Sus scrofa: one gene and its partners. The protein of the gene in region 4 interacts with the protein of the main gene of each other region in a pairwise test. Links are inferred from orthologs where the notes say so. Each region holds a gene or a part of one and is shown on either strand. Other genes may lie near its edges.

Region 1 (4,244 bases), on a different chromosome or scaffold from region 4:
AGGAAACTTAGGAACCATGTTCACAGTGTTCTCTGTTCCTATTTCTGCCCCCATCTTGGAGTTATTCACTTTCCACATGGATAATACAACCAACACCCTGGAGTCCCCAGAACATTATCTCCGGGAACAGTCATCTTCCCTTCCCTTCAGCCACCCACTCTTTGAACTTTATTATTACCTGGAGTTCTGCCTCTTCTGTCTTCTTAAATGCAACTGTCTGACCACCTACACCCTCTCTCATTATTTCATCTTTCAATGTCACTCCAAAGCACCTAGCAGAGTATCTATCACATATGAGTCACTTACATGATATTTATTAAATAAGCCATACTTTTTCTTGGATCTCATTAGCATTCATGTTCGTCAAGCCCTTGTTTCCCAATCCATTAGCCAGAAAACTAATCTGCCTCTGTGTTAGGCTAGAACTGAGGCCCCGTCTCTCCCATATAAACAAGTTGATCTCTCCCTAAACACAGAAAAAAACAGGGAACACATCTAACTCACTTTGCAGTTTCAACGTTTATTTCTGATACCAAAACCTGACAGCACACAAGGGGGAAAAAAGCAATAGACAAGGAACAGCAAATAAATTTATCTTGCATGCCACTTTCAGTCAACAGGATGTGGCTCTCTAGATAGCTGTGTTTAGAAGGATTCTGAGGCTTCAGCCTCACTCAGGGGAAAGACTGTTGCAACTGATTAGCAATACCTGTGAACATAAAAAAGAAAGAAAATTAAAAATCAATGCTATATACCAAATAAGGAACAAAAATACCAAATGGTGCTTCCCCATACCTTCCTCATCTCCCCACCATGGGTTTCCTAGGACTCCCAGCTAGAGCACATAAATACATTCCCATGGACTCTACATCCCCAATGACCCTAAATGCCCAATTCCAAAGTGATATACCTACCCAACATCTCACTCAACCCAGAAGAAACCAATGGCACCAAAGTTGGCAGCAAAGTTGGCACTGGCTGTACCACCAGGGCCAATAATGGGGCCAGCGAAGGTCTGAGGAAATCTGGAGCGAGCATTCTGGTGGTATCTGGCCCAGAAGGTAAATGGGATTCTGGACCAGGGATCTCCAAAATCTCCTTCCTCATCCCAGGTCAGCAGCTCAAATTCAATGTCATCCCAGCTCCAGGGCCCAGATACGGCCTCATCTCCAATCCCCATGCGGGTTCTCGCCTCAGCCCGGGCCTCTGCCTCAGCTGCAGCAGCATCCAGAGCATCTAAGGCCTCATCTGCAGCCTCCATGAACTGTGCAGTCCAGTCACGAGGGTCTCTCTTCTGAACCTGAGATAAGGAATAGAAAATAAAACCAAGAATAGTATTCATTAATATTTATGAAGCACCTGCTATATATTTAACGCCCTACGTTGTGCTACTGTTTGCACAGTAACAACAACAAATGCCACCAATGATGTGGCACCTACATGTGCGATACCTAAGATCTCATTCCTGCTCTGGACTTTTCCCAGCCAGTCATACTTCATCCCTTGACCTAGCAAGTCTGGAGCAGTTCCTCTATTACCTCTGCAATGAATCTCAGCACTTTCATCTTGCTAGTCTCATGGTAGGAACGGAGGCCCCAGAGGAACTCATACTCAGGAGGGTTGCTGTTGGGCACTCGTCTGTAGTCTAGGTACCTTAGAAAGAGCAGAAAGGCCTTTGTTTCTACCCAAGCAGAATGATAGTCCATCAGTGCATAATAATGCTAGATTCTGACACCCCAGATTTCAGGTACAACTCCCCCCAGTCTCATTCCTGAACAGATTGTTTACCCTCTAATAATCAGGCCTTCACGTTCCTGTGCCAGTGCTTTTACACCCAGCAATCACCCAGGGCTGGAGGGTGACTGGCGTAGGGTCATAGAAAGGACAGCACTTAATTTCACCCCCTTTGTCACAACAGCTCTAGCTCCAGGGTCTTGTAATTTTGTCATTGAGCCACAAATAGGCCCACTGCAAAAGCCTCAGCCAAGCCCAGCCTTGGAAATACCTACTGTGGGCATGGTGGACAGGCTCCACTTGCAAGATAACTATACTGCAGAAAAGTTCAACTATAAGGAGTATACTCAATAAATACTCCTGAGTACACATGTGTGTCTGTATGCCTGTGTATAGGTATAAGTGAGTGTAAGAAATGAGCATAAGAGGGGCTTTCTGAGGCTGACCAGCACACAGAACTCATGAGGACCACACAAAGTCGCTTAGGCATCACTTACTTTTGCTTTACAAACTCGTAAGTGAGAAGTTTCCTCAGATCACCAAGGAGGGGATGTCTCACCCTGAAAAAAAAAAAAAAAAAAAAAAAGAACTCATAATCAGAGACTATGATATTGCCCAAAGAAAAGCAAAGCGTTTTCTAACACAGAGGTCACAGGCAAGAGAAGAGGCAGAGAGGTCAGAACTATTTCCCGTTCACCCAGGTCACATCGTTGGGCTCTGTACCTCCCCAAACCAATTCCCCTAGACCGCCAGGCTGATGCAATCCTGGGACCATCCTCTGTTACCAAAGGATGATATAAACAGGCAAGAGATGAGAGAGCCCAGTCATACCCAGGACGCAGTCCCATCTTGCGTAGTGCCTCCCAGAGGACAGCTGCAATGGGAGGCAAGGGGAGACAAGGGACGGAAAATGAGCATGGAAATCAGGCGGTAGCCAACCCCCAGTTGCTTGTCCAGCCACTCACCTTCACTGGCACGGTTGCCATTCATGAAGATGACACCCAAAATCACTAAGAGGAGACCCAGCTTGGGTGTGTCTTTGGTCCTAAAGGAGCACAAAAACAATACATTTTCAACAGCCATATGAATGCGACGCCCCAGGCAACTCACCCCTCTCACTTCCCTAGTTAGGCTAGGAGAGAATTCTATCCCAGTTCTGCACATGACCCTGTTATGTGACCTTGAATCCTGGACCTTGACCTACTTGAAACTCCCAGGAAAAAAGCACCCCTGAGAAAGGCCATGTTCCACCTCCCTTCCCATCTTACGTTCCCAGTATGCCAGCCAGGGACTCGGGGGTACTGATGAGAATATACAGGTGTTCTTCTTTGTCAATTTCCTTCAGTTGAATTCCAAATTTCTACAGGGACCAAAAAAAAAATCAGACTATGAAATTACAAAATCTAGCATAAGCTACCCATATTCAGTCACTCCCCTCCCTGTGACACTCACCCTAAATTCCCAGTAGGGATCCTATGAAATCTTTGAAATCGAGACTTTCCCATAATATCTATTTTTAAAAAAACCTTCCCCATCATTCCTGTCCTTCAGGGCTGCCTTCTCACCTTCTCTAGGACAAAACATGCGCGTTCAATGATTTCTGGATACACATCAGTGTATTCACGGATGATATCCCTCAGCATTTCTGCAGGAGAGAGGAGGGAGCACCTGAGCTGAGGCCACAGAACTACAACCTCTTTGCCAGCCCTGCTGAGGGGAGCAATGTCCTCAAGGGTGGAAAAGGAAGACTCAATTGCAGAAGGAGGGGACTGAAGGGGAAGGGACATGAGCAAAGAAATGGCCACACAGGGCAGAGCTCTGGGAGAGGGCACTGGATGCCCACCTGAGCGCTTGATGGGCACCTTTGTGTAATCTTTAAGCATCAGGTACTTGACCAACTTGTTCGCCTGAGAAGGAAAAAAGAAAGCATTAAAGTTATAAGCGATTTACAGGCCACTTGACAAGAGGGAAAAGAGCAAGAGGGAGAGGGAAAGTGACTGCAGTTACAATTCTTACTCTTTCCTGAAGAAGGGCCACATCTCGGGGCTGTGAGGCACCCAGGTTCTGTGAGGCACGCGAGTTGGGAGAGGGGCGCAGGTTCGGTGAGGGGCGCAGGTTCTGCCAGTCAGGTGGAACTGGCCAATCAGTGGGAATCCAGTCAGGTGGGAGCGGCCAGTCAGTGGGAAGTGGCCAATCAGGTGGCAGTGGCCAGTCGGGGGGCAGTGGCCAGTCAGGAGGGCCTTGCCAATCTGGAGGACCCTGCCAGCCTGGTGGAGTCTGCCATCCAGGTGGGGTCTGCCATCCAGGTGGATTTTGCCAGGCCAGTGGGTTCGGCCAGACAACTGGACCAGGCCAGACAATGGGGTTTGGCCAGATCACAGGATTCTGCCAGATCACTGGGTTTGGCCAGATCACTGGGTTCTGCCAAGCAACTGGGTTTTGCCAGGCTGGTGGGGTCTGCCTAGCTGGGGGGCTCTGTCGTGCTGGTGGGGTCTGCCTGGCTGGCTGAT
Region 2 (3,989 bases), on a different chromosome or scaffold from region 4:
TCCTCCGACACAGCCTGGCCCTCCCTGAGCCAGACTCTCAATAGCATCCTGCAGCTGTCCAAGCCCAGATCTGCTTCCTTGGCCCACAGGCCAGAACACCCAGTTCTCTGCTTCCACGGGCCCTCTGCCCCAGGAGGCTCAGGCATCCTCTGAAATAGCACTGGGCCCTGGTCTTCTTTTGCTCAAAGAACAAAGCAGCTTCCAAAGTCTGCCTCCACGAGATTAGGAGGCAGGGGCTGGAGGAGGCAGGTCTTTATATTCTCATTAGGTGAAGGGATTCAAGGCTCAGAAAAGCAGAGCAACCAGCCCAAGATCACATAGCAAATGAATGCTGGGGCCAGGGCACCAGCAGTGAATTGGGGGCAGGCAAAGCCTCAAAGGGAGGGGTCTGGAGGTGTCAGGCCATGAAGACAAATTCCTGGGGTGCAGAGGCCCGTTTTACAGGTGGAGTCACACTTGTGAACCTGGTCCACTAAGCCCTTGTCCACTGTGTGGCCCCAGGTGGGAGAGATGGGTAGGAGAAGGCCTCCAGCCACTCACCTGGCAGCCGCATCATGGGCGACTTGATATCATTGGCCAGTGTTGTGTGCGCGCACGTGCATGTGCGCATGAAGGGGGCGCTTCAGTTTCTCCTACGCCTGTGGGCCCCAGGACTACAGTTCCCAGGGGCCCCTGCTCCAGGCTGGTGGTCCCTAGCCAAAGCTGGCCTGTAATCTGACCATCCCTCTGCAAAGGTCACTTCAGAGCCCCTTGAGGGACAGCAACAGGGGGAGCTCAGAGTGGCTCGACTTAGGTGGGGGGGTGGGGTGTGCACTGTAGCCCTGCCTCAGGCAACCTTCCCCATACCACCCCCTGGAACGCAGGGTCCCGGTGCCCCTTCGTGCAGACACCCAGTATCCTCTGCTAGTTGCACTTCTGTTAGGGCTCATCCTCAGCGCCTGGGCCTTCAGCCCGTCCCTCCCCACCCGGCTGCAGGGCTGCCGTGGAAGCTTGACCGGAGGTCACCCCGCTTGGGGTTTGCAGTCTCTTCTGTGAATGTCTGGAACAGAAGCCAAGAGGCTCTGATGGGGGCTGGGGCTCCTGACCTGTCCTCCTTGACATCCCACTTGGCCCCTCCAAGGAGCCCTGATGGACAGCCGCCAAGGTCCGGCCCCATCTTTCATCTAGAACCCAGGAACGGGCCCAGAGCAGGGCAGCCTCAGCCAAAGTTGGAGCCCAGCGGCTCCGGTCAAGGCTCAGGCCTCTCAGGCCAGCCCGCCGCCGCCTGCTGCATCTTGTCTCTGACCCTGCAAAAGGCAGGGAGGGGGCCAGAGGGCAGAAGGGCCGCCGTGTGCGAGGGGTGGGGGGGGACGTGGGTCCGCACAGGGCTGCCGGGCCCAGCCCAGGCGGAGGTCCGGCCTGCTCTCCCTGCCCCTCTCTCCTCTCCTGCGCTTGCCCCAAAATAGCTCCCGGAGCACCCAGGCCAAGACCCTCCCCCGGAGGGAGGAGGCGGGGCAAGCTGCCCAGAGCCGGGCTTTAAATCGCCGGCCGGCCGGGGATCTCCACTCCCTGGCTGGAGGCACCGCTCAGGCCCCCGTCCCCACCGTCCGTCCTTCCGTCCGGCCCGCCCTCCCGCAGCCATGTCCCGGCCCCTGACGGACCAGGAGAAGAGAAAGCAGATCAGCGTGCGCGGCCTGGCCGGCGTGGAGAATGTGGCGGAGCTGAAGAAGAACTTCAACCGGCACCTGCACTTCACCCTCGTGAAGGACCGCAACGTGGCCAACGCCCGCGACTACTACTTCGCGCTGGCCTACACCGTGCGCGACCACCTCGTGGGCCGCTGGATCCGCACGCAGCAGCACTACTATGAGAAGGACCCTAAGGTGCTGCTTGGGGCCCCCCGGGTGGGGGATGGGCTGGGGGGGCCCTGCCCCGGGGGGCCCGGAGATCGTGACACGTGGCAGCCCTTTCCTGAGGTCAGGATTTGGGCGCAAAATAAAGGGTCGCTCCAGGTTCCTGAGGTTGGAAGATGCAGGGTGCCAGGTGCAATGGGTGCGGGGACCCAGGGGCGGGGTGCGAGGGGTGGGGTGGGGGTCAGGGGCCTCAGGTCAAGGCAGGCTGGTGGCAAAGGCCCTGATTGAGAGCCACCCACAGTCCAGCCCCCTCTTTCGGCTAGAATCTCGGAGCGAGGGGCTGTTGAGGGGGCAGGAAGACCCCTGTGGCCTGGGGTGGACCCTTAGTGGAAGGACATGTCACTGAATGTGTGCACAGCGCGTCCGTGAGCGGGTGGGGCTCGGCTGGGGCAGCTGAGGGGGGAGATCAAGTGTCTGTTGGGGTCACTGGTAAATGTCAGCAACCTGACACCTCTGGGCAGGAGTGGGGGAGGGGCAGACGGGTGGGGCAGGGAGGGGACCCAGGAAACCAGGAGACCATGCACCATCCGCATCCTGGAGCCTGGCGCCTCTCTGGCCCCTTCTTGGGACAGAGGCTTGAGGGCCAAGGGGAGCTGGGCCCTGCAAAGATGGGAGGTGGCTGCCTCTAGCCCTGAGTCATTGTGTGACCTTGAGCCAAAGACTTTTCTCTGGGCCTGGCCCCCCCTCCTGGGGAGCCCTTGGAGATGCTCCCCCACATCCTGACTCCCTGAGGGGCTGTTGGGAGGATTTCCTGCACAGGAAGGGGTTCCCACCTCTCCTAAGCACCTCAGCCCCCCAGGGAGATACAGCCAGCCCCATTTTCCAGATGAGGAAACTGAGGCTCAGAGAAGAAAAGTGATTTGTGCAAAAGTCAAAAGAAATGCTGGGGCTGGAACTTACCTGTTGGGTCCCCAAAGCCTGAGGAAGCGGGGAAAGAACATGCTGGGGCCTAGGCATGGGGCAGGACGTGTGAGAGGTGCGGCCCAAGCGAGCCTGGCTGAATGCATGTCCGAGGGCAGCCTTGACCCCGTCTGTCTCTCCGGACAGAGGATCTATTACCTGTCTCTGGAATTCTACATGGGCCGGACGCTACAAAACACCATGGTGAACCTGGCCTTGGAAAATGCCTGTGATGAGGCCACCTACCAGGTGTGTAGGGGTGGGGCAAGCCCTAGGGACTGCAGCATGGACCCGCTGGCCCTTGGCCCTGACGACTGGCACACCCTCCCCCTTCTAGCTGGGCTTGGACATGGAAGAGCTGGAGGAAATGGAGGAGGATGCCGGGCTCGGCAATGGGGGCCTGGGCCGGCTGGCAGGTGAATGAGCCGGGTGGCACGGGGGTGGGGGTCGGGGGTGGGCGGAAGGGTCCTTTTGTGTTGCGTCTCTGACACCCCTTTGTGCACACCCCTAGCCTGCTTTCTGGACTCCATGGCAACACTGGGCCTGGCTGCCTATGGCTACGGGATCCGCTATGAGTTTGGGATTTTTAACCAGAAGATCACTGGGGGTTGGCAGGTGAGCAACCTTGGGCCCTGGCCGGGTAGGGCCCTGGTTGTGAGGGGGAAGACCCCCTATGTGCTCATTCATCTGTGCATAGATCCAGAACTGGCCCAGCCCCCGGCCCCAGTCCCATCGTTATCTCTTGGGATGGGAGGGCCGTACCTGTGGGATCTCTCAGACTCTCATGCACACACCGTGTCCGCTTGGCTATCCCACCAGACCAGGGGCCCGCCTGCCCCAGAGTCTTTCATGTATGCCCTCCCTATACAGGGGCTGTATAGCTGCTGCTCCTGCCCTGCCCGCCACTTCTTGTGGCGTGAGCCTGGCTCTGACGCTGCTTTCCTTTCTCCCCGACCTGCTTGGGCTTAGATGGAGGAGGCTGATGACTGGCTTCGCTATGGCAACGCCTGGGAGAAGGCGCGACCCGAATTCACGCTGCCTGTGCACTTCTATGGCCGAGTGGAGCACACCAACCAGGGGGCCAAGTGGGTGGACACACAGGTGAGGGGGACGCTGGGGAGCAGAGGAGGATCCAGGGATGGGGAGGGGAGGAAGTTCTAGAGGAAACAGGGAGAAACAGGGAAAGATCCCGGAGGC
Region 3 (4,250 bases), on a different chromosome or scaffold from region 4:
TGGCTTCTCTAATTTTCTTTAAAAATGTACAGTTGCTGCCACTGTTAAAAAAAAAAAAAAAAGGCAGTTTCATTCCAAACTGCATTTCTGGCCCTTCCTGAGGGACTGGCAGATACTGTACCAGTCCCCAACACAGTAGGACTCCTCGCTGTATAGCAGGAAGCCCAGGCCCAGCGGATCGTGACTCCAAAGCTCAGAGAGGGGGCCTGGCCTACCTGAGGTCACACAGCATGAGGCAGCAACCTGACCCTCAGTCTCTGGAGTCAGATCGGCCAGCCAGATTGGATCAGAGGAGAGCAAGGGCCAGGTAGGGAGGGTAGGACCCCTGGAGAGGCTCAGAAAGGCCAGGCCTGACAAGCAAAGCTCCTAAACCCTCCACATCACAGGACCAGAACAAAGCTCCCGGGCCTGCCCTTCAACCACCTTGCCTCAGTTTCCTCACTTTGAAATGGGCATATGATCAAAAAGCAGGGAAGATTCAATAAAAGGATGTATGTTCAGTATTTGGCAAATGGGGAGGATAGGAACACCCCCAAAGGAAAAACAGATCTCACTATTCCTATCTCTTCTTGGAGAAAACTCAGGATCCTTCATAGAACACTTTTGTGTGACCAAACTGAGGTCCAGAGAAAGCCCAAGACCCCACTGGTATCTGTGGCCATGGACCCCCTTCTGATTCTCAAGCAAAGACCCCCTCCGGAGCTAAGGCTTGAGACTTTGCAGTCTTCAACCCAGAAACTGAGTGTGAGAATCTCATTTTGCCACTTCCCTGCTGGGCAACCCCAGGAAACCCCTATCACCTCTGGGTTTAAGTTTCCCTAAATGTAAAATGAAGATAATAATAGTTCCTTTTTCTTAGATCTGGCACATGGCAAGCCCTTTAGAAATGTTAGATTAAATTCTGGAGGGAGCATCGCCTTGCTGCTGGGTGCCAGAAACCTTTTCTCCAAAACTAGGCAAAGAGATAACAAGCTATAGACTTTCTTTTGAGGGGTGGGTGGGGCGATGGAAGATCCAGCCCCCAACTCCAGCTCTTGGGAGGTCTTTTATCCAACGCAGTCTGGGGTGGGGGTGGGGGAGGGGAGAGGGGCTTGGAAACCAGACGGCTGAGTCTTTGGGCAAATTATTTAAATTCTTGTGCCTCAGTTTTCTCCTCTATGAAATGGGACTGTCCTAAAGACTAAATGAATTTAATATCCGTAAGTGTTGGAGACCTGGTCTGCCACATGAGACACTCAATACCGATTTTTTCCCCCCATTCTGTGTGTATAGCAGGGACCACAACTTCAGCTCCAGGCCTCAGTCTTGCCTTCTGAGCAGGGGGCTCCACCTTCACCCAGGGCAGGGACCACCAGCCCTCAGCTCACCTGTGGTACTGAGCCTGCAGGAGCTGAAACTCATCTTTGATGCGGTCGCAGGAGTCCGAGGTGGTGAATTTGAGTTGCTGGGGTAGGTGCGACGAGCCCTGTGGGGAGGGGGCGGCCCGGGTCAGGACCAGGAGGGGGCCGCCACCCACCTTCCTCCCTGAGGGCGCCCCCCCTCCACCAGGCTGCGGCCTGCGCAGCTGCAGCGTCCCCCCACACCCTGCCCCACTTCCCTGGCTGTGTTTACAGCCCCTGGCTCGGCCCCCGCCCTCGCTTCCTGCCCCCGCCTCTCCCCGAGAAGCTAAGGAGGGTGGGTGCTCCCGGAGCCGCTCGTCCCCCTCCACCCCCAGGCTGTGGGGGTGCATTTGAAGGGCCGCCCTTGGTGGGGGGTAGGGTGCGCCCTCTACCGCGCCTCCACAGCGCCGGGAGGGGTTGCACGTCTGAGCGTCCCAACTGCCTCAGGGAGGGGGGAGAACGCGTCCTAGTGAATCCCCCTCCCCAAAGCTGGGAGGCGGGGGCAGGCTTCCTGGCAAAGTCCCCTTGGGAGAGGGGGCTCTCAGCGCCCAAAATCTTCCGGGGGTGCGGGGGCCCACCCCAGATTCCTAGCACCCTTCCTCCAGGCCGCGCGCTCTTCCGGGAGGGGTGCGCCTTGACTCTCCCCCACTCCCAGGCCCCAAAAGCAGCCCCAGCGTTAGAGGTGCCTAGTGGGGCTCCCGGGGCGCCCCAGGCCCCAGGCCAAGGCCAGCGAGGCCCAGCCTGGCTTGGGGTGGGGGTGCGCAGGGTCCAGGGTCTGGGGCGTGCTCTGAGCTGGGGGCAAAAGGGGACCTGGGGGGGCTCTGGGCCCGGAAGCTGGGAGGGGGACCCGGAGCTGGCGGCGGTTGCGGGGGGGGAGCAGCTCTGGGCCCAGAGCTGGAGGGGACTGGGCCCAGGAGTTGGGGGGAGGTGCCGAGCTGGAGGCGGGGGGTTGGCCTGGCAGGGACCTGGAAGGGGGTCGCAGGGCTTGGACCTAGAGGGGGCGCTGGGTTCGGATATGGGAGGGTACGGGGCCCCGACCTGGAGGGACGCAGGGCCCGAACCTGGGGGAGGGAATAGCCCCGGCTGGGAACTGGGGATACCGGGCCAGGACGTAGGGGGACGCAGGGCCCGGAGCTGGGGGGGGTGGCTGGGCTGGGAACCGGGGGTGCCGGGCCCGGACGGGGGGGGGGGGGGCCGCCGGGCCGACGGGCCCCGCTTACCGAATGCCTGCTTTGTGGAAACATCATGTCAGTCGCGGCGGGGGGCGCAGGCTGCGCCCCGGCTGTGCGCCCCGACTCGGGCTGCTCGGGGCGCCGGGCGGCCGCGCCTTTGTCCCGGAGCCGATCGGCAGCTCCCGGGGCCGCCGCCGCCGCCTCCCGCGCCCGGCCTCGCCCGCTTCCTGCGCCCCCTCCCCGCGCGCCCGGCCCCGGCGCGCCCCGGGCCCCGCTTCCTGCGCGCCCGGCGCCCCTCCCCGCCCCTCCCCGCCGCCCGCCTCCCCGCACGCCCGGCCGCCGCTCCTATTGTCTAATGGCGGCGACGCCGGCAGTGGCCGCGGCCTCGGCTGCGCGGAGGCTCCGGCTCCACCTGCTGCTGTCGCCGCCGCCGCCGCCGCCGCCGCTGCTGCTTCCCGGGCCCCGTGCGCGCCGCCGAGGGGGGGGCGCGCGCCCGGGGAGGCCCGCGGATCCCCACCCATCCGCCTCCCCCGGGCCGGCCGGCGCGGTGACCTTGGGCCCGCGCGCCCCCGCCCCGCCGCGGCCCCTCCCGGCCGGGTGGCCTCGGCAACCGCCAGGGCCTCGGTTTCCCCATCGGTCAAAGCTTGGGGCCCGGCTGCCCCCATCGAAACCGCCGGCGCTGTCATGGCGCGACCCGGACGCGTGCCAGGGACATGCTCTGTAACCTTGGCTCACTGGCTTTTCTCTGAGCCTCGGTTTCCTCCTCCGTAGAAAGGCGGGGATGATACCGCCGACCTCCTGGGAGCCATACCTTGACTCACATTAATGGAGCGCCTACTGTGTGCCAGGTGGGGGTGGGAGGGGGTACAGAGTCCCTACCCTGGTGGAGAAGACAGAAGACAGAGAGACCAGCCAAAGAGCCAGGTCCCTGGCAGGTCAGATGGTGGTAACAGCTATAGAGAAAAGAAAGCAGGAGGGAGGGCCGGGAAGATGTGATTTTAAACAGAGGGAACTCAGATGGACCTCTTTGGCCGCTAAGCGGATCTGAAGACGAGAGAGGGAGCCAGTAGGCTATGGGGTTGGTCGCTTATTTTAGGAGGCAGAAACAGCCAGTGCAAAGGTACTGAGGCAGCACTGTGCCTAGCACAGGTGGGGGTGGGGTGCTTGAGAGGAAAAGGGAGCAGAGGGGCAGGGCTAGCAGCTTCTGGAATTTGCACAGAGGCCTGGCTTCCAGAAGGGCCTCTGCTTGGGTGGATGATCTGCTGTGTTGGTCTGGAAATTCCTAATAATTTTTGAATGGTCTTGTTTTGCATTGGGGCCTGCAAATTCTGTAGCTGGTGATGAGGCGGGACAGATGGTGCAGGGCCTTGTGGGCTCAGGGAGGATTTGGGCTTGCTCGGAGTGAGATGGGAGCCCTGTGAGATGGTGGGCAGAGGAGAAACAGGGCTGATGGGGACTTTGATAGGATCTCTCTCCCTTTCCTGTGGAGAGCAGGCCTCCAAGAAACCAGAAATAAGGCACATTAAGTTCCAGGAAGTGCTAAATACATAGGCTCTTAATTGTCACCATCATCATCATCCACTATGCACCTTTGCCTCCTGGATGAATTTAAATTCTTCCAGCCTTGGGTTTTCCCATTTGTAAAATGGAGACTTAGGACCGTGGTCACCTTTCCCAGGAAGATGAGGGTCCAGGACAA
Region 4 (3,500 bases):
AATTTAATTTTTTTATATATATTTAATAAGTACCACATTAAAGACAGCTGTGTCATTGACTTCCCTAATCTGATTGCACGTCTAAGAAATAAAAGCAGCTTAAAAAAACTGGGATCCATCCTAGATGCACTCCTTCAGAATCCCTGGGGATGGAGCCTTTGAATCTGTATTTTTTACAAACTTCCCCCAAATGATTCTGACGATGTTCAGCTTAGTTTAGAAACTATAGGGCTATATCAAACTTTATTCGAATAGCCAGACCACAAAGACATGGTAAGACTGAATGGATATTTTCAATGCAGAGTGTAAAGCAGCTGAGAAACCGAGAGGCGTTCTAGGACTTGGGAGGGCACAGGGCAAATCTAGTCACATTTCTCCTTTACTTAGTGTATAAGCAAGATGCAAGCAATTGGGTATATGTGACTCAGGCACCTGAAAGCAGTCCATGTACACCTTTAAAAAAGCAGAAGCCTTAACTAACATCACATTCAAGCATTCTCTGAATTGGAAGGTAAACTTGCTTTTTTCTGAAAAGGAAATCCTAGTACTATGAACTCAAACTTAATTAAGTAGGTGGTACAAAGGTTACAGCTACCCAAAAAGAAACCAGGAAGCAAAAAGTCCGTTTAATCACAGGGCAATTCAGCTGGACAGAACTCAGATAGTGAGACTAAGATTTAAAACAAACTCACCCACTAGTTTAAAAAATGGATTTGACCATTTCTGCCAGCTTCAGCTTCAGTGAAGAAACAGAGCAAGAAACTACTGGAAAATATATGTTCAACCCATGCCCTCCGATTTTGGGGAGCTTTGTGAAGAGCCAGGCCCACCACTTACCTTAATGGACAATGCATAGAGATGGTTCAGCATAACATGATTGGGCTCAGGTAGCAAGGCTGGGTCACACTAAAAGAGGGGGAAAAAAAAACCCCCAAAAAACAACTAAGTGGGGTTAAATGCACAATGTTAAATCAAAGATCTTAAACCAAAGAGTTTATTCTTCCCAGGGCTCTTTGGAACTGTTGAGAAACTCAAAACGAGAATGTATTATCTCTTTTAAATAATGCACTTAGGGAGTTCCCACTGTGGCTCAGTGGTAACAAATCCAGTAGTATCTATGGGGACATGGGTTCAATCCCTGGCCTTGCTCAGTGTGTTAAAGATCCAGTGTTGCCATGAGCTGTGGTGTAGGCTGCAGACATGGCTCAGATCTGGTGTGGCTGTGGCTGTGGCGTCGGCCAGCAGCTGTAGCTCCAATTCAACCCATAGGCTGGGCAATTCCATATGTCATGGGTGTGGCCCTAAAAAGCAAAAATAAATAAATAAATAAATAAAGCACTCATCCTCGTATATATCAATACATTCCCATTACACAATATTCGGAAAATTCTGAGCCTGGGGCAGAAACCCTAAGCCTCAGCATCTATTCATACTCTTTAATAGGACTAAAGCAAAAACCTTGCCCACAACACACAAAGAAGATTTGTATTAAGAGGCAAAAATAATCTTAGTGGGAATCAAGTGAGTTAACTAGGGATGTAAATTATATGCAAAATATACTTCTTTTGGATAACTGCAAATGATAAGTACTTCTCATCTTATGTTGGAATTAAAAATGTTAAAAACTAGTTCTATCAATCCATAGCTCTGGGCCTGATATATTAGGATCAGAAGACAAGTATAAATTTTTTTTTTTTTTTTGTCTTTTTGTCTTTTGTCTTTTGTTGTTGTTGCTATTTCTTGGGCCGCTCCCGCGGCATATGGAGGTTCCCAGGCCAGGGGTTGAATCGGAGCTGTAGCCACCAGCCTACGCCAGAGCCACAGCAACGCGAGATCCGAGCCGCATCTGCAACCTACACCACAGCTCACGGCAACGCCGGATCGTTAATCCACTGAGCAAGGGCAGGGACCGAACCCGCAACCTCATGGTTCCTAGTCGGATTCGTTAACCACTGCGCCACGACGGGAACTCTTTTTTTTTTTTTTTTTTTTTTTTTGACAAGTATAAATTTTGATATAAGTACCTGGAAAAGTCACAACTTAGCCCTGGAAAAAGGAACCTGCAATACTACTGATAAGTATATGATTTATACTCAACATAACTTTTTAATAATCCCAACTTCTAGAATTACATAACTTTGGCTCAAATGGCCCTAGTGACCCCCAGATGCCCCAATAATACTCTTAGGATACTCACAGATATATTAGTGTCCTTGTTAAGAATAACTTGGAGAAGGTGGGGAGGCAGGATGGGTGGGGATTTGAATCTCTCCTCTGATCGAAACACATACATTTCTTGACCATAAGGCCCTGGGGGTGAGCTGGAAAGGTCTGGAAGATATTTATACAAATATAAGGGAAAGATGGGAAGCTACAAAAAATGCAAGAAAAAACTGTCAATACATGGCAGCTAATACTAAATATGGTAAAAGACAAGAATCATAAAGTTGGAGTTCCTACTGTGGCACAGTGGGTTAAAGCAACTGGTGTTGCCACAGCTGCAGCAAAGGTCACAGCTTTATATAATTATTATTATTATCTTGTGGCCACGCCCAAGACATGCAGAAGTTCCAGGGCCAGGGATTGATCCCACACCACAGCAGAGACAATACTGGATCCTTAAGCTGCTGCACCACCACAAAACTCCCAAACAGATAATTATTATATTATTAATTATACTTTTAGAACCTGCACAAGCCACCCTTGTGCCCTGAGATTCTAATATGCCCAGTTCAGGTATTGTGTCTCAGCTGAGAATCACAGAAAGTCTAAGCCTCTGATTTTACTGATAAGCAACTGAGAACCAAAAGCATTGAAGGTCTCATCTGTGATGGCAAAGCTAATTAGTAGCAGAGGCAGACTTTGCGTTCACAAGGAAGAAGTGTGCTTCCTTGGAACACACTTCTTTAGACAATCAGAGCCTTTACTGTAAAGTTACAAAATCGATAACTGTGAATATGGATAGCAAATTATTTTTCTGGTGCTATAGCCAATGTAAGTAGAGATGAGGGGCTTGGAAAAAATATTGTGAGAAACAAAAGTATATAGGTCTTTCCTCTAACAAGGAAATTTTTTTTTTTAACCAAAAACTTTAAAAACTTCAGTTAACATACACACAATAGAAATATGAGTTTTTTTTTTTAATATAATGATTTTTTATTTTTTTCATTATAGCTGGTTTACAATGTTTGGTCAATTTTCTACTGTACAGCATGGTGACCCAGTTACACATACATGTATAGATACTTTTTTCTCAGAAATGTGAGGCTTTTTTTCTACAGACTGACTTAAGTATAGGGCCTTATAAAATTATAGAACTGCCAAATGAGCTATCAAACTGGCAGGATTAGGCTGAGGCAGTTAAAGAAGGCAAACCAAACTCAACTAGCCCCTGCTAGTTGACACTGTTAAAGGTCAATGAAAAACGTGAAATATTACTAGAAAGAGCTTTTAAAACTACAGGAGTTCCCATCATGGCTCAGTGGAGACGAATCCATGAG
Region 5 (3,500 bases), on a different chromosome or scaffold from region 4:
AACCTGCTGAGCCACCACGGCCACTCCCAGGAAAACGGAGTTGTCTACACTTCCTGCTGCAGCTTCCTCATCTCCATTCTTCTCCTCGACCCACCTCAACCCAGCCTCCAACTCCACAGCTCACTGCAACTGCATACACGCAGCCACCTGCAACCTGCCTCGTGCCTATTCCAGTGGGCGCGAGTCTGCCTTCATCGCCCGCGACACGTGTTCTTCCTCTTCAGTTTCAAATCCCCAGCCATCCGCACGTACATGGCTAACAGGCATCTCAAAGTGAACCCGGCCTAGTCATGACTCCTCGCCCCGACGTCTCCCACACCTCTTCCCCCCAGGCTCCCTTGTCGCCATCAACGGAGAGGCACTGCCTCCGTCGGAGCTTCATCCAGGACTGTTCCTCTCCCTGCACCCCAGGACCCACAGGGCCCGTGACACCAGCTCCCAAGCAGACTGAATCTGTCCACTCTCTTCCCTTTCCCCTGGTTCGGGCCACGGTCACCTCCATCTTGGACAAACCGCGCTGCTCCCTGCCTCGTCCCCCGGCACTCTCCTACCTGAGAGCTTCCTATGGTTTCTCATTCTCAGGGACTCTGCCCCCTGCCCTGCCCCCCAGGATGTGGTCCCTGCAGCCTCTTCTTCCTTCCGCTCCCCACAACAACCCCACCCACCCAAGCCTGGTCTGCATGGCAGGAGGTGGAGGCTCATCTCTTCAGCCTGGATCCTCATTCCCTGGCTCCTTCCTCATCTAGTTCTCTTGCCCAATGTCACCCCACAGAGAGGCCCAGGCTAGTCTCTGCTGTGTCACCCATTTAAATATTTCACCATATTCCGTACTTGTGTGTCCTCCTCTGTACTGGCCCTCTAGCCTGTCAGCCCCCTGAAGCCAGGAACCCTGTCTAATCCCAGGGCCTGGCAGGGTGCCGGGCACACAGGAGACTTTGTATGCGTTTGCTAAATCGATGCCGCCCTAAGTGTGTGAACAATATGATCGGAGGAGCTGCAATGCCCTCCGCCCTGAGGCTCTGGGGGGGCGGCCCTCACGCCCTGTGGCAGCTGCTCAGAGAAGCCCCACTGGCTGCCAGCGGGGAGCAGCTGTTTTCCCACAGCCCCGGTAGGAACAGGCTGGGTGGGCGGGCTCCTCGGCTGCAGCTGGGGCTGGGGGGCCGTGGGGGGCCGAGGGGGCGGTGTGCTTCTGTGGTCTTAAACGAGGTTGGGGCTTTGAAAACCAACTGTGCGGTGAAGGAGAGGTTAGACCCCAAGAAGAGCTTCTGGCGGGGGCGGGGGTCCAGTAAGGGAGTGTGGGTGGCGCTGAGGAAGGGGCCTACCCAGCACCCTCCCTTGAGCCTGGAGACCCTCTGGTTCAAGCCATGTTTTGTGAATGGGGGCAAGAAAGGTGACAATGGGTGAGATTCCACGTTCAGAGGCAGGGAATGGTTTTGCCCAATGGAGTGAACATGTATGGCCAGGCCCCCGCTCTAGGTCCCGGGCACAGGGCAGTGAACACGGGAAAAGCAGCCCCTCCCTCACGGAGCCCACAGGCCCAGGGGAAGAGAGCTGGGGTGCTAAGGAGGCCCATGATGGAGACCCTGCCCTCGTCAGGGGTCCAAGGGGGTCCCCCGGGGAAGGACCCCCTACTTGGACTTGACACAGAGGATGAGTGAAAGTTCACCAGGGGAAAAAAATACTTGGGGTGGAAGCAACAGCACGGACCAAGGTCCCGAGGTGGGAAAGGGCTTGATGGAGTCAAAAACCTGAGGCAGGTCCCCAGGACTAGAGGGGAGAATGGTTCAGGACGGGGTGGGGGGGGGGGCAGCCAAAGCCTGAAGTGGGGGTGGGCCCCGGCCCTGCCCTGGCTCCTGGAGCTCTGGGGGAGTCCTGACTGGGGAAACCCTGTGTGGGGTGGGGCGAGGGGTCCAGTGAGGTGGGCTCTGACCCAGTCCCTGGGGGCAGACGGCCCTGGCCACCGCCTCCCTCACCTCCATCTCCCCGACCTGCCGCTGCAGCTGAGTGCACGTTGCTTCCAGCTCCTCCTGCCGCCGCAGGGTCACTGAGCCTTCAGGGAAAGACAGGAGGGGTTCCTCTGCCCCAGCTCGGAGGCTGCCAGGCCACCTCTGACCGTGACCAGAGCTTTGGCCTGAGGGTCACCTGCAGAAGCTGCCCCTTGAGAACTTGAGGGGGTCCCCTGAGAACCGCCTCTTGGCCTCTCCACCTGACCTGGAGAGGGGTGCCCTGACTGACTCTCAGGAGGCCGCCAGCCTCACTTCCCCGCTCCCCCCAGAGCGAGGGGCTGAGGGGGCTGGTTTCCTCCAGGCTTCTGATGGCAAACCCTGAGCTCAGAGGACTCAGTCCCACACAGCAGAGCACCGCCCCGGGTGTGTCACGGCTCCCCTCTGGGCTCTGCTGTCCAAAACCCACCGAGGACTCAGCTTGATGCTTTTGGAGCCCTGCTGCCCAGGGATCACCGGCCCAGGGGAGGTACAACAGGAGGGCTGACCAGCCCGCTGTGAGGGTCTCTTACCCTGGTGCTCCTGGAGGGTCTCCACCAATTCCTCCAGGGCCCGTATCTTCCGATCCTGCAGCAAGGCGGGAGGGAGCAGGCATGGTGGTTCCCAGAGCCCAAGGGAGCCCCTTGCAGATGGGGAGATGCAGCATAAAGTCCCCGCCCGCCTTGGTACCGCCACCACTCCTGTACTGACCCTTGTGGTTCCACCGAGGTGGGAAGCACCCCCAGGCGCCCAGTACTCCGTAGCCACTGCTACCACCCAATCTGAGGTCTATAGGACTTGCTCAGATGTGGAGGAGACCCCTTAGCCCCTCTGCTCAGGTCACGGGGACCCAGATCAGTTCCAAGTCAGACTAGCCCTTGAGTTGGGCGGTTTGTTCAGGGAGATGGTTCTAGAACCTGTCCACCCTGGCCCATTGCAATAGTAGCCTCACTATGAGTAGCCTCCCCAGCCCAGGCCCTTCTGCCCCTTAGACCGGACTCTGGCCCTTTACCGGCAGGGGCCTCACCTTGAACAGCATCTCGTCAGCCTGGGCCTTCACCTGCTGCTCCAGATCCCGCAACTTCTTCATCATGGTGGCCACCAGCTCCGAGTCGTGGGACACAGGGACTGCCAACCAGACAGAGTCCTAGAGCCCAGGCCTAGAGCTGGGTGGGGGGGTGGGGGTATGGGGGTCCAGGGTTGGGGGAGAGGGCTCCATGACAGCAGAAATAAGCCTGGTTACAACCGCTGCCACCTAGATAACGGGGACTGCCTACAACAGTGCTCATAGATCAGCTTTGCTGAGGGAATGAACTGCTTCGGGAAACTGAGGCACAGAGACTCAGTAACGTGCCTAAGATGTACAAGGAAGCAGTACGACATCGGGTCACATCACCGTGAAGCACTCTCAGCAAGGTCACCCTCTGTTGAATCACTTCTCTAATCTCAGCCCTCATTCCCAGGAAAGACGGTGGATAGAGGACAAGTTAAAGGGCACCAAGACAAAAGACGTGCGAC
Region 6 (3,935 bases), on a different chromosome or scaffold from region 4:
AGCCATGGTACTTACCCAAGAGAAGAGCATGGGGCTGTGGGGGAGGGGACCCAGAGAAACTGCTGGGTCCAACTAGCCAAGATAAAGAGGAACAAGTTACAGCATGTGGTTCAGTTTCTCCAATGTCTAACATTCTAAAGATGAGCAAAACAGCATCATGCAGAAGGGGAAACTGAGGTCCAGGGAAGAGGGGCCACACAGCCAAAGTCACATGTTTGTGATCCAAGGATCTGTAGAGTCTTGGGATTGAAAAGTTTCCGTGAAAGAGAAGGCCTGGCAATGGGGAAGTAATAATTGCAGCTTCTACAGGAAAGAGTATGAAAAAAAAAAAAAAAGGAGTTCCCATCGTGGCTCAGTGGAAACGAATCTAACTAGCATCCATGAGGACCCAGGTTCCACCCCCGGCCTCGCTGGCCCAGTGGGTTAAGGATCCAGCATTGCGATGAGCTGTGGTGTAGGTCACAGATGCGGCTTGGATCTGGTGTTGCTGTGGCTGTGGCAGCTACAGCTCCACTTCGACCCCTAGCCTGGAAACCTCCATATACTGTGATTGTGGCCCTAAAAAGACACACACACAAAAAAAAACAGTATGGAAATTCCTGAAAAAAAAAATTGAACTGCCATATGATCCAGCAATCCCACTCCTGGGCATCTATCTGGAGAAAACCGTGGCTCCAGAAAAAAGATACATGTACCCCAATGTTCATTGCAGCACTATACACAACAGCCAAGACATGGAAGCAACCTACATGTCCATCGACAGAGGACTGGATAAAGAAGATATGGCACATGTGTACAATGGAATATTACTTGGCCATAAAAAGGAATGAAGTAATGGCATTTGCAGCAAAATGGATGGATCTAGAAATTATCATGCTAAGTAAATTTAGGCAGTGAGAGACAAACATCATATGCTAGTACTTATATGTAGAATCTAAAAAAGGATACAAATGAATTTATTTGCAGAACAGAAACAGACTCACGGACTCTGAAAAATGTGCAGTTACCAAAGGGGACAGGTTGGTGGGGGAGAGATGGACTTGAGATTTGGGATGGAAATGTTCTAAAATTAAGTTGTGGTGATGATTGTACAACTATAAATATAATAAAATTCACTGAATTAAAAAATACTTTCAGCTGCTAGCTTTTCAACTCTTCATATGTGTCACACATTTTTCGAGTCAAGTTCTTCCAGTAACTTGACATACATTATCTATTTTAATCTTCTAAAAACCCTCGAGTTATCATTATGTCCATTTAACAGATGAGACAACTGAGGCTCAGACATGAGCTGGTTAGAAGGAGAGCCCAGGCCGGCCTGATTCTCAAGGCTGTGTGCTTACCCACTGTGCTCTGTGTGCAAACCCCATGATTTGAAAAGAAATCAAGCAGGTGAAGAGAAACAGCTAAGACTTCATGATCCTGCATTGAAAAAAAACAATAAACATAAGGAGTGTAGGAGTTTTTAGTGTGTTGGTGATTGGCATAGAATTGAAAAGGAAATATGTATGCCCTAAGTCAATTATCTTAGTTAAGTGTTTGAATCTAATTTGATATTGATTATAGCAACTTTGGGTGTGTTCATGTGTGTATTAAAATGCAGTGTAAATATATAAGTTTCTGAGCAGAGTCAGCTGCCAGACTATAGGATCTGAGAGACCCAGCCTTGGGGAAAATCATTCATGCATGTGAGTGATGAGCTCCTGGTCACCTTTACACACAGTCCTGTCTTTGTCCAACCCTTGTCTTGTTGTTGCTGTTTTTATTAGCATTGCAGTTTTCTGTTTTATGCCATTGCTTCAACCAAGCGTGCTTGGCCCATGCATTCAGGAAGATGCAAACAGCTGAGGTTATCACATTTGTGTGTGTGTGTGTGTGTGTGTGTGTGTGTGTGTGTGTGTGTGTGTGTAATTATAATGTCTACATATGCATGGAGCAGGAAGGGAATTTTGGCCGTCTGCCACTTGCCAGACACATGCAGATGCAGTACAGACATTTTCTTAATCTGCTCAGCTACTCTAAGAGGTTCTATAGATGTGAGGTTCTGGGAGAGGAAGTCTCTCCCCCAAAGTCACACAGCCAGTATGGGCCAGCATTCTGATCTGGACCCGGTTCTACCTGAGTTTTCTGCATTGCACCGTAGAGCTCTTTAGGCAGCCGGCAATAAATGGGCCACTGACACTTTCTGCTTACTTTTCGGTCTTGCATTTTTTTGCTTATAACCTCCCTTGTCCCTAGAAAGGAACTTAATGCCACTCATGCCTTGGATTGTTACACACACATCAAAAAAAAAAAAAAGAGGAAAGAATTGTTTAAAAAAAAAGATCAAGTCACAGGTGAGATATTGAAATGAGCCCCATATGGCTACCTTTTATGAAGTTTCAGAGTTTATCTTTAAAATGGAACAGATTCTATAAAAGCTTGGCTACCAGCTCCCAGTCCCCCCAAAAATAATTACCATGTACTGCGAACTTGCTATATGCCCAGTTCTGTGCTAAGCCCTTTATAGTCATCACTTCTTTTAATAATCAGATTAAGCCTGTAAAAGGTTAGTTATGATGCCCATCTTCAAGGTGAGGAAACTGAGGCTTGGAGAGGTGAGAGTCCTTACCTGTGGTCCCTTCAAGGTTGTCACCTGCGTCAGACTCTCACGTGAACTTTTTCTGTCGACACTGGGAGGACGCTCAGATCTGCTCCGCCATTGCCCCCGACCCACTCACCTGGCGTGCCGAAATTCTGGAGAAAAGCAGCAGCTGCTGTGGGCACAGGGTCCTCTCTCCTGGAGGGAGGCTCCTGTTCTGGGGCGTCCTGTCCTCAGCCGGGACTGGAGCTCAGGGTCAAAGTCTGGAGTTACAGACAGGGCACAGCAGGGGGTGGGGCTGGGCACCGCGCTGCTCACAGGGGCTGGACTCAGGCCAGGCTGGGAGACCTCACCTCCCCTCGCTCCAGTCCCTGAAAAGTTGCCTGACTTTTCTGGCTGATCCCAAGTCCCTGTGGACAGGCCTCCAGAGAGGGAGGGAGGGAGGATGGGGTTCTTGGAGGGCTAATAGGCACAGGAAGGTCTGTCTCCCGGGCCAGCTGGAGGCGATCCTCTTTCTTCCTTCTTCCTGCTGCCACCCTGGGGGAGGAGGGGGTGGCTCCCTGAGCCTCTGTGAGTCTGGCCTTCGGGGAGACCAGAGGTGTAGGACAGGGGCTCCCCAGGCCAGCCAGCCAGCCCAATGCCGTTCTGGAATGCTAGGTGGCTAAGGCCAAGGAGAGACTCAGGGCAATGCCTGTTTGGACCATAAAGATATGTAGCTCTTGGGAGTTCCCGTCGTGGCTCAGTGGTTAACGAACCTGACTAGGAACCATGAGGTTGCAGGTTCGATCCCTGGCCTTGCTCAGTGGGTTAAGGATCTGACGTTGCCATGAGCTGTGGTATAGGTCGCAGACGAGGCTTGGATCCTGCATTGCTGTGGCTCTGGCATAGGGCGGCGGCTACAGCTCTGATTTGACCCCTATCCTGGGAGCCTCCATATGCCGTGGGAGCAGCCCTAGAAAAGGCAAAAAGACCAAAAAAAAAAAGAAAAGAAAAAAGAAAGATATGTGGCTCTTTGCTCCTGTATCCCAGAGACACAAACGCTGGACGCCAGGTCCCTCCTCTGCCATAGCTAGACCTGGAGCAGAGATCACAGAGTCCAGAGAGCATCAGGCACCTTGCTGTATGGATGGGAAGACTGAGGCCCATGGAGAAGGACCAACCAGCCCTGGGTGAGGCGTCCTTCAGGTCAGCCTTAAAGGTCCGGCCTCTAACCCCCTGCCTTCGACATCACCAAATAAAAACATGCAGATGAACATTGAAAATGCATGCAACATACTAGTGCATAGTATTTTTCTTTAATAATAAAAAATGAAGGTGAACTCCACCTTTTACTTCTATGCTTCCATTTCATTTG
Region 7 (4,032 bases), on a different chromosome or scaffold from region 4:
AGAAAGGAACACCCTAAGCCATCCTGAAGTCCCTGTAAGGCCCTAACCCAACTTTGAGAAGCAGTAGGTAATCAGTAGGTTAGTCCGTAGCTGTGCTGCACGCTCCTCTGCGCCCCTCAGACTACTCCATCGGCATTTCCTACCCTGACAGTTTCCAGGTGACTGGTAGCCCGGTATAGATGGGCCCCCAAAGGCTGGGCTGACGTCAAGGGGCTTTAGGCTTTTACATAGCATTTGCATTCAAATGAACGGCCATTTCACTTTCACAGGGATTGTTCACTCTACACTCCCTCTCCCAGAGCTCTGGGGCCTTTCTGTCTCTTTCTCGCTTGAGTCCGTCTGGTTCCGTGGCACTAATTTTGCACTTTTGGAGGCAGGAGCTTCTCTAAAGCTCCCTCTAAATTGAGATGGAGGCGTGCAGAATCAGGGCCAAATTCTACTCTTTGGGATTCAGTCCTTACTCCAGGGTCTCTTCCCTTTATGTTGATTGTCCCATACCCAGCCTGCATCCGTGGTATCCTCTCTGCCCACATTCCCTGTCACCAGTACTCCACATGGCACTGGCCCATGATACCACTGAAAGGGGTTTTCCCTTCTCTTCATTGCCCCTTCCACCAGGAGGAGAGCTTTGTTTTTAAGGACAGAAATTCATTTCACAATTATATATTATGTGCCTACAGTCTGCCAGGCTGTTGTAGACATGAGGACAGAGCAGTGAACGAGAGAAACACCGGTGCTATGCCTTCTTAAGGTTACATTCCAGTAGATGGAAGGCCGGATTAATTTGATGTTTTACAAGTATGCACAAATTAAAGAAAGATGAAGAGAGGAGGTTATGAAAAAAAGGAAGGAAAGAAGGAAAATACTCATGTGGGTAGTGGGCTTCCTTATTTTCTTGACAGTTCACTAGTCTTTCTTGGGTGTCTTTCTGCTAAGGCTGGCTTCTGCCTCAAAGTCAATACCCCAAGGAGCCAAATTCCTGCAGTCTCAAACTCAGGGCAGCTGCAACTCTAACTTTCTTTCACGCTTGAGAAGATTTCCTTCATAAAGCTCCATTTGTTGAAAAAGACATGGACTTGCCAGTAGATAGCCACAAACTCAAGATTTTGCTTCAAAAAAACCAGATTACCTCCTGACAACAAAACCAATCTGAATCCCAGGACTCCTTCTTACCCACATACTCCCTCACCCCTCCCCTTCCCCAAACATACCATAACCTTTAGTTCAGGTTGTGCTTCTACTGGAGGACCTTGCTCCTTTATACTGTCCAACCCAACCTGGCATTTCCATTAACTAATCCCTCTTTAGCTTTGGGAATATCACTTCATCTCTAGAGTTTCAGGGTTTTCCCCTGTGTGATAGGAATCCTAACTGTCTGCATTTACAAGGCAGGATATCCTGAGATAATGTATGCAAACTGCCTAACTTAATACACAGCATGGCACCACTGTACTCATTAATTTACTCAACAAATATTTATTGAGGGCTAGGTGCTATTCTACGCATGGAGACATCAATAGTGAACAGACAAAGCTCTTTACCTTATTAAGCTTATATTCTCAAGGGGGGAGATACTAATAAGTAATTAAATTTTATGGTATGTTAGATGGTAATAATCAATATTGTGAAGAAAAATAAAGCAGGAAGGACAATAGGGAATGCTGGAGGGTGTTGCAGTTTAATATGCAGTGGTCTGGGAGAACCTTACTTAAAAATGACATTTAAATAAAACATAAAAGAAGTGATGGAGTGAGCTATGAGGAAAGGATCCAGACAGAGGTAACAAGTGAGGAGACAATGTCTGTCTTCTATTGGAGAAATAGCAAGAAGGAAATTGTGGCTAATGAGCAGATTAGGTTCAAAAGCTAATGAGGGTAGGTCATTTTAAATTTCTAAGTTTATACTCTAAGTCAGGTAGGGAGACATTGCAGGGTTTTGAGAGTGACATGATTTAAGTTTTGAAAGCATCACTCTGGCTGTTAGATTAAGAATTGATTGTAAATGAGCAAAACAGAATCAGGATGATTAGTTAAAAGGCTATTGCAATAATCCAGGTGAATAGCATTGGGGATGGAGAGAAGTGGCTGAATTCTGGATATGGTATGAAGCCTGCTTTGGAGAAGGAGAAGGAACAGGAAGTAATTGGTCAATGAAGGCTAATTAAAACCTGGCACTGGGGAGAAGAAACTAAAGAGCAGGAAAGTCACATATTTATAGGCACTTTTTATACATGATCGCCTTTCATCTTTACAACACCCCATGAGTTATTTATTTTCATTCCCATTTTAAAGATGAAGAAACTGAGGCTCAGAGAAGTGGCATGACTGTGTAAATGAACTACTGATGTGTAGTAGAGCTAGGTTCCCATCCTAGGCAGACATGATTGCAAAGTTCATGTCCTTAAATTGGAACCAGGCAAAACATACAACCTCAGGTCTGGGGCTTGGCTTCTGCTCAGGCTCCCAGGCCTGGCTTTCAATCTTTTCCACAACATAGACCCAATACTCTTGTATTATTCTCTTTCATGTATTCTATCCTGATGCAAACTTGCCTACTTGATATTTGAAATGCAATGTCAGGATGAAAGCCCATGGAGGACCTTTAAAAGTTAGCTAACCAAATATCATTTTTACCTATGAGAAAATGGAGGGCCTGAGTGGGGAAGGTTTTCTTTAAGGCAGTGAATGGCAGGACTGAGATTCAAATTCAGGTCAGTTGACTCCCAGATCAACACTTTTTCCACTAAAAAATGTATGTTTGCTTATGTGCTTATGCAAGTCCCTTTGTCTAGACTTTTTTTTTGGGGGGGGGGCTAGGGGTCAAATCAGAGCTACAGTTGCCAGCCTATACCACAGCCACACCAGATCCAAGCCACGCCATGGCAACACTGGATCCTTAACCCACTGAGCGAGGCCAGGGATTGAACCTGCAACCTCGTGGTTACTAGTTGGGTTTGTTAACCACTGAGCCACGACAGGAACCTTTCTAGACTGTTTTTATCAATAAAAATTGTTAAAAGTCTCCCTATTCTTCAAGACTCAGCTCAAATTACTCCTCCTCCCTAAAGCCCTATGTTATGATGCTCCTCTCAGAAAGTACTTTCCCTCTTGTTTAAATCCTGTCATCAATTCCCCTCCTTCACTGACTAATACTATTCTTGTCCACCTTATTTGGGGTCTTAGCTGAGTCTTTTGGAATTTGAGAGGATGTGAGGAGGTGTGTTTGAGCCCTGTAGAGTGGAGTGTCATGCACATGATAGGATTTCAAGAAATATTTGTGTTCTGAATCAATAAATGACCTTGGAATCAGAGATTGGAAATCATCATTTTGACTCTGCTCTAGGGACATATGGAAGAGAACCCAGTAAGTACATTGTTCAGTGCTGGGCAGAACCTGGCTTCAGGATTACTTGGTTTTGTGTTTTTGTTTATTTGTTTTTCTGGCAGTAGGAGTGGGAGGATAGGGAGGTGGGAGAGTAGGGAAGTGGGAGAGAGAGGTGGACCAGCAGGGAGGTTAAGTCTAGTTTATTGGACTGGAAATTTTGATTTCTTCTCCCTTTTTTTCTTTAACCTGGAGATTAACCAGAGAGGCAGCCTCACAGGAAGCAGAATTACCAGCAACAAAAGTCAAATCCCATGAGCTAAAGATCAGGGCTTCGGCTGTGCAAGGATTATTCAGCACCACTAGGGAGTGATCAGTTAGTTTTTCTGAGACTTAGAGAGGCGTGGGTCAAATGGGGCTTCAGTTAGACACCCCTCCACTACCCAGCTCTGAGCCGACCCCCACAACCAGGTTATTGTAAGGCCTGCAGGAGATAATGGATGTGAGATTGCTTTATAAATAGTACAGTCCACCTGTGATGGACTATGGGGATCTGGGTAAGCCTTTTCTGTAGCAGGCTTAATGCTTAGGAGGATCTCACTGTCTGGTAAATATTTTATAAGCCTGGTCTGGCCTCTCAGGGCTACCAGAATAGGCCAGCCCTACTCTCTACTGCCCTCAAACCTCTCCCACTTCCCTGGCCCGGATTTT

What was found.
Region 1: the proteins of PRKAB2 (region 4) and MAGED1 interact in binary tests that used the Homo sapiens proteins (3 or more experiments, as listed by UniProt). The link is inferred for Sus scrofa from reciprocal best matches to the Homo sapiens genes PRKAB2 and MAGED1.
Region 2: the proteins of PRKAB2 (region 4) and PYGM interact in binary tests that used the Homo sapiens proteins (3 or more experiments, as listed by UniProt). The link is inferred for Sus scrofa from reciprocal best matches to the Homo sapiens genes PRKAB2 and PYGM.
Region 3: the proteins of PRKAB2 (region 4) and AES interact in binary tests that used the Homo sapiens proteins (3 or more experiments, as listed by UniProt). The two-hybrid records come from large-scale screens. The link is inferred for Sus scrofa from reciprocal best matches to the Homo sapiens genes PRKAB2 and TLE5.
Region 5: the proteins of PRKAB2 (region 4) and UBXN11 interact in binary tests that used the Homo sapiens proteins (3 or more experiments, as listed by UniProt). The link is inferred for Sus scrofa from reciprocal best matches to the Homo sapiens genes PRKAB2 and UBXN11.
Region 6: the proteins of PRKAB2 (region 4) and DAO interact in binary tests that used the Homo sapiens proteins (3 or more experiments, as listed by UniProt). The link is inferred for Sus scrofa from reciprocal best matches to the Homo sapiens genes PRKAB2 and DAO.
Region 7: the proteins of PRKAB2 (region 4) and CDX4 interact in binary tests that used the Homo sapiens proteins (3 or more experiments, as listed by UniProt). The link is inferred for Sus scrofa from reciprocal best matches to the Homo sapiens genes PRKAB2 and CDX4.

The regions. Positions count from the first base shown.
Region 1 is NC_010461.5:45,325,539-45,329,782, reverse strand, and holds the end of MAGED1 (melanoma-associated antigen D1), read right to left. Parts: coding exon 3,751-4,244; intron 3,642-3,750; coding exon 3,578-3,641; coding exon of another isoform or gene 3,380-3,577; coding exon 3,300-3,379; intron 3,095-3,299; coding exon 3,003-3,094; intron 2,780-3,002; coding exon 2,700-2,779; intron 2,609-2,699; coding exon 2,566-2,608; intron 2,295-2,565; coding exon 2,232-2,294; intron 1,654-2,231; coding exon 1,539-1,653; intron 1,301-1,538; coding exon 923-1,300; 3' UTR 915-922; intron 710-914; 3' UTR 501-709; downstream 1-500. UniProt on the Homo sapiens protein: Involved in the apoptotic response after nerve growth factor (NGF) binding in neuronal cells. Inhibits cell cycle progression, and facilitates NGFR-mediated apoptosis. May act as a regulator of the function of DLX family members.
Region 2 is NC_010444.4:7,408,141-7,412,129, forward strand, and holds the start of PYGM (glycogen phosphorylase, muscle form), read left to right. Parts: upstream 1-1,189; 5' UTR 1,190-1,619; coding exon 1,620-1,862; intron 1,863-2,939; coding exon 2,940-3,041; intron 3,042-3,129; coding exon 3,130-3,208; intron 3,209-3,303; coding exon 3,304-3,407; intron 3,408-3,761; coding exon 3,762-3,893; intron 3,894-3,989. UniProt on the Homo sapiens protein: Allosteric enzyme that catalyzes the rate-limiting step in glycogen catabolism, the phosphorolytic cleavage of glycogen to produce glucose-1-phosphate, and plays a central role in maintaining cellular and organismal glucose homeostasis.
Region 3 is NC_010444.4:75,490,758-75,495,007, reverse strand, and holds the start of AES (amino-terminal enhancer of split), read right to left. Parts: upstream 2,801-4,250; 5' UTR 2,627-2,800; coding exon 2,600-2,626; intron 1,466-2,599; coding exon 1,368-1,465; intron 1-1,367. UniProt on the Homo sapiens protein: Transcriptional corepressor. Acts as a dominant repressor towards other family members. Inhibits NF-kappa-B-regulated gene expression. May be required for the initiation and maintenance of the differentiated state.
Region 4 is NC_010446.5:100,385,044-100,388,543, reverse strand, and holds part of PRKAB2 (5'-AMP-activated protein kinase subunit beta-2), read right to left. Parts: intron 2,332-3,500; coding exon 2,198-2,331; intron 907-2,197; coding exon 838-906; intron 1-837. UniProt on the Homo sapiens protein: Non-catalytic subunit of AMP-activated protein kinase (AMPK), an energy sensor protein kinase that plays a key role in regulating cellular energy metabolism.
Region 5 is NC_010448.4:83,701,016-83,704,515, forward strand, and holds part of UBXN11 (UBX domain-containing protein 11), read right to left. Parts: intron 3,113-3,500; coding exon 3,010-3,112; intron 2,571-3,009; coding exon 2,516-2,570; intron 2,051-2,515; coding exon 1,974-2,050; intron 1-1,973. UniProt on the Homo sapiens protein: May be involved in the reorganization of actin cytoskeleton mediated by RND1, RND2 and RND3. Promotes RHOA activation mediated by GNA12 and GNA13.
Region 6 is NC_010456.5:41,947,829-41,951,763, forward strand, and holds the start of DAO (D-amino-acid oxidase), read right to left. Parts: upstream 2,801-3,935; 5' UTR 2,612-2,800; intron 1-2,611. UniProt on the Homo sapiens protein: Catalyzes the oxidative deamination of D-amino acids with broad substrate specificity. Required to catabolize D-amino acids synthesized endogenously, of gastrointestinal bacterial origin or obtained from the diet, and to use these as nutrients.
Region 7 is NC_010461.5:59,087,899-59,091,930, reverse strand, and holds the start of CDX4 (homeobox protein CDX-4), read right to left. Parts: upstream 2,801-4,032; 5' UTR 1-2,800.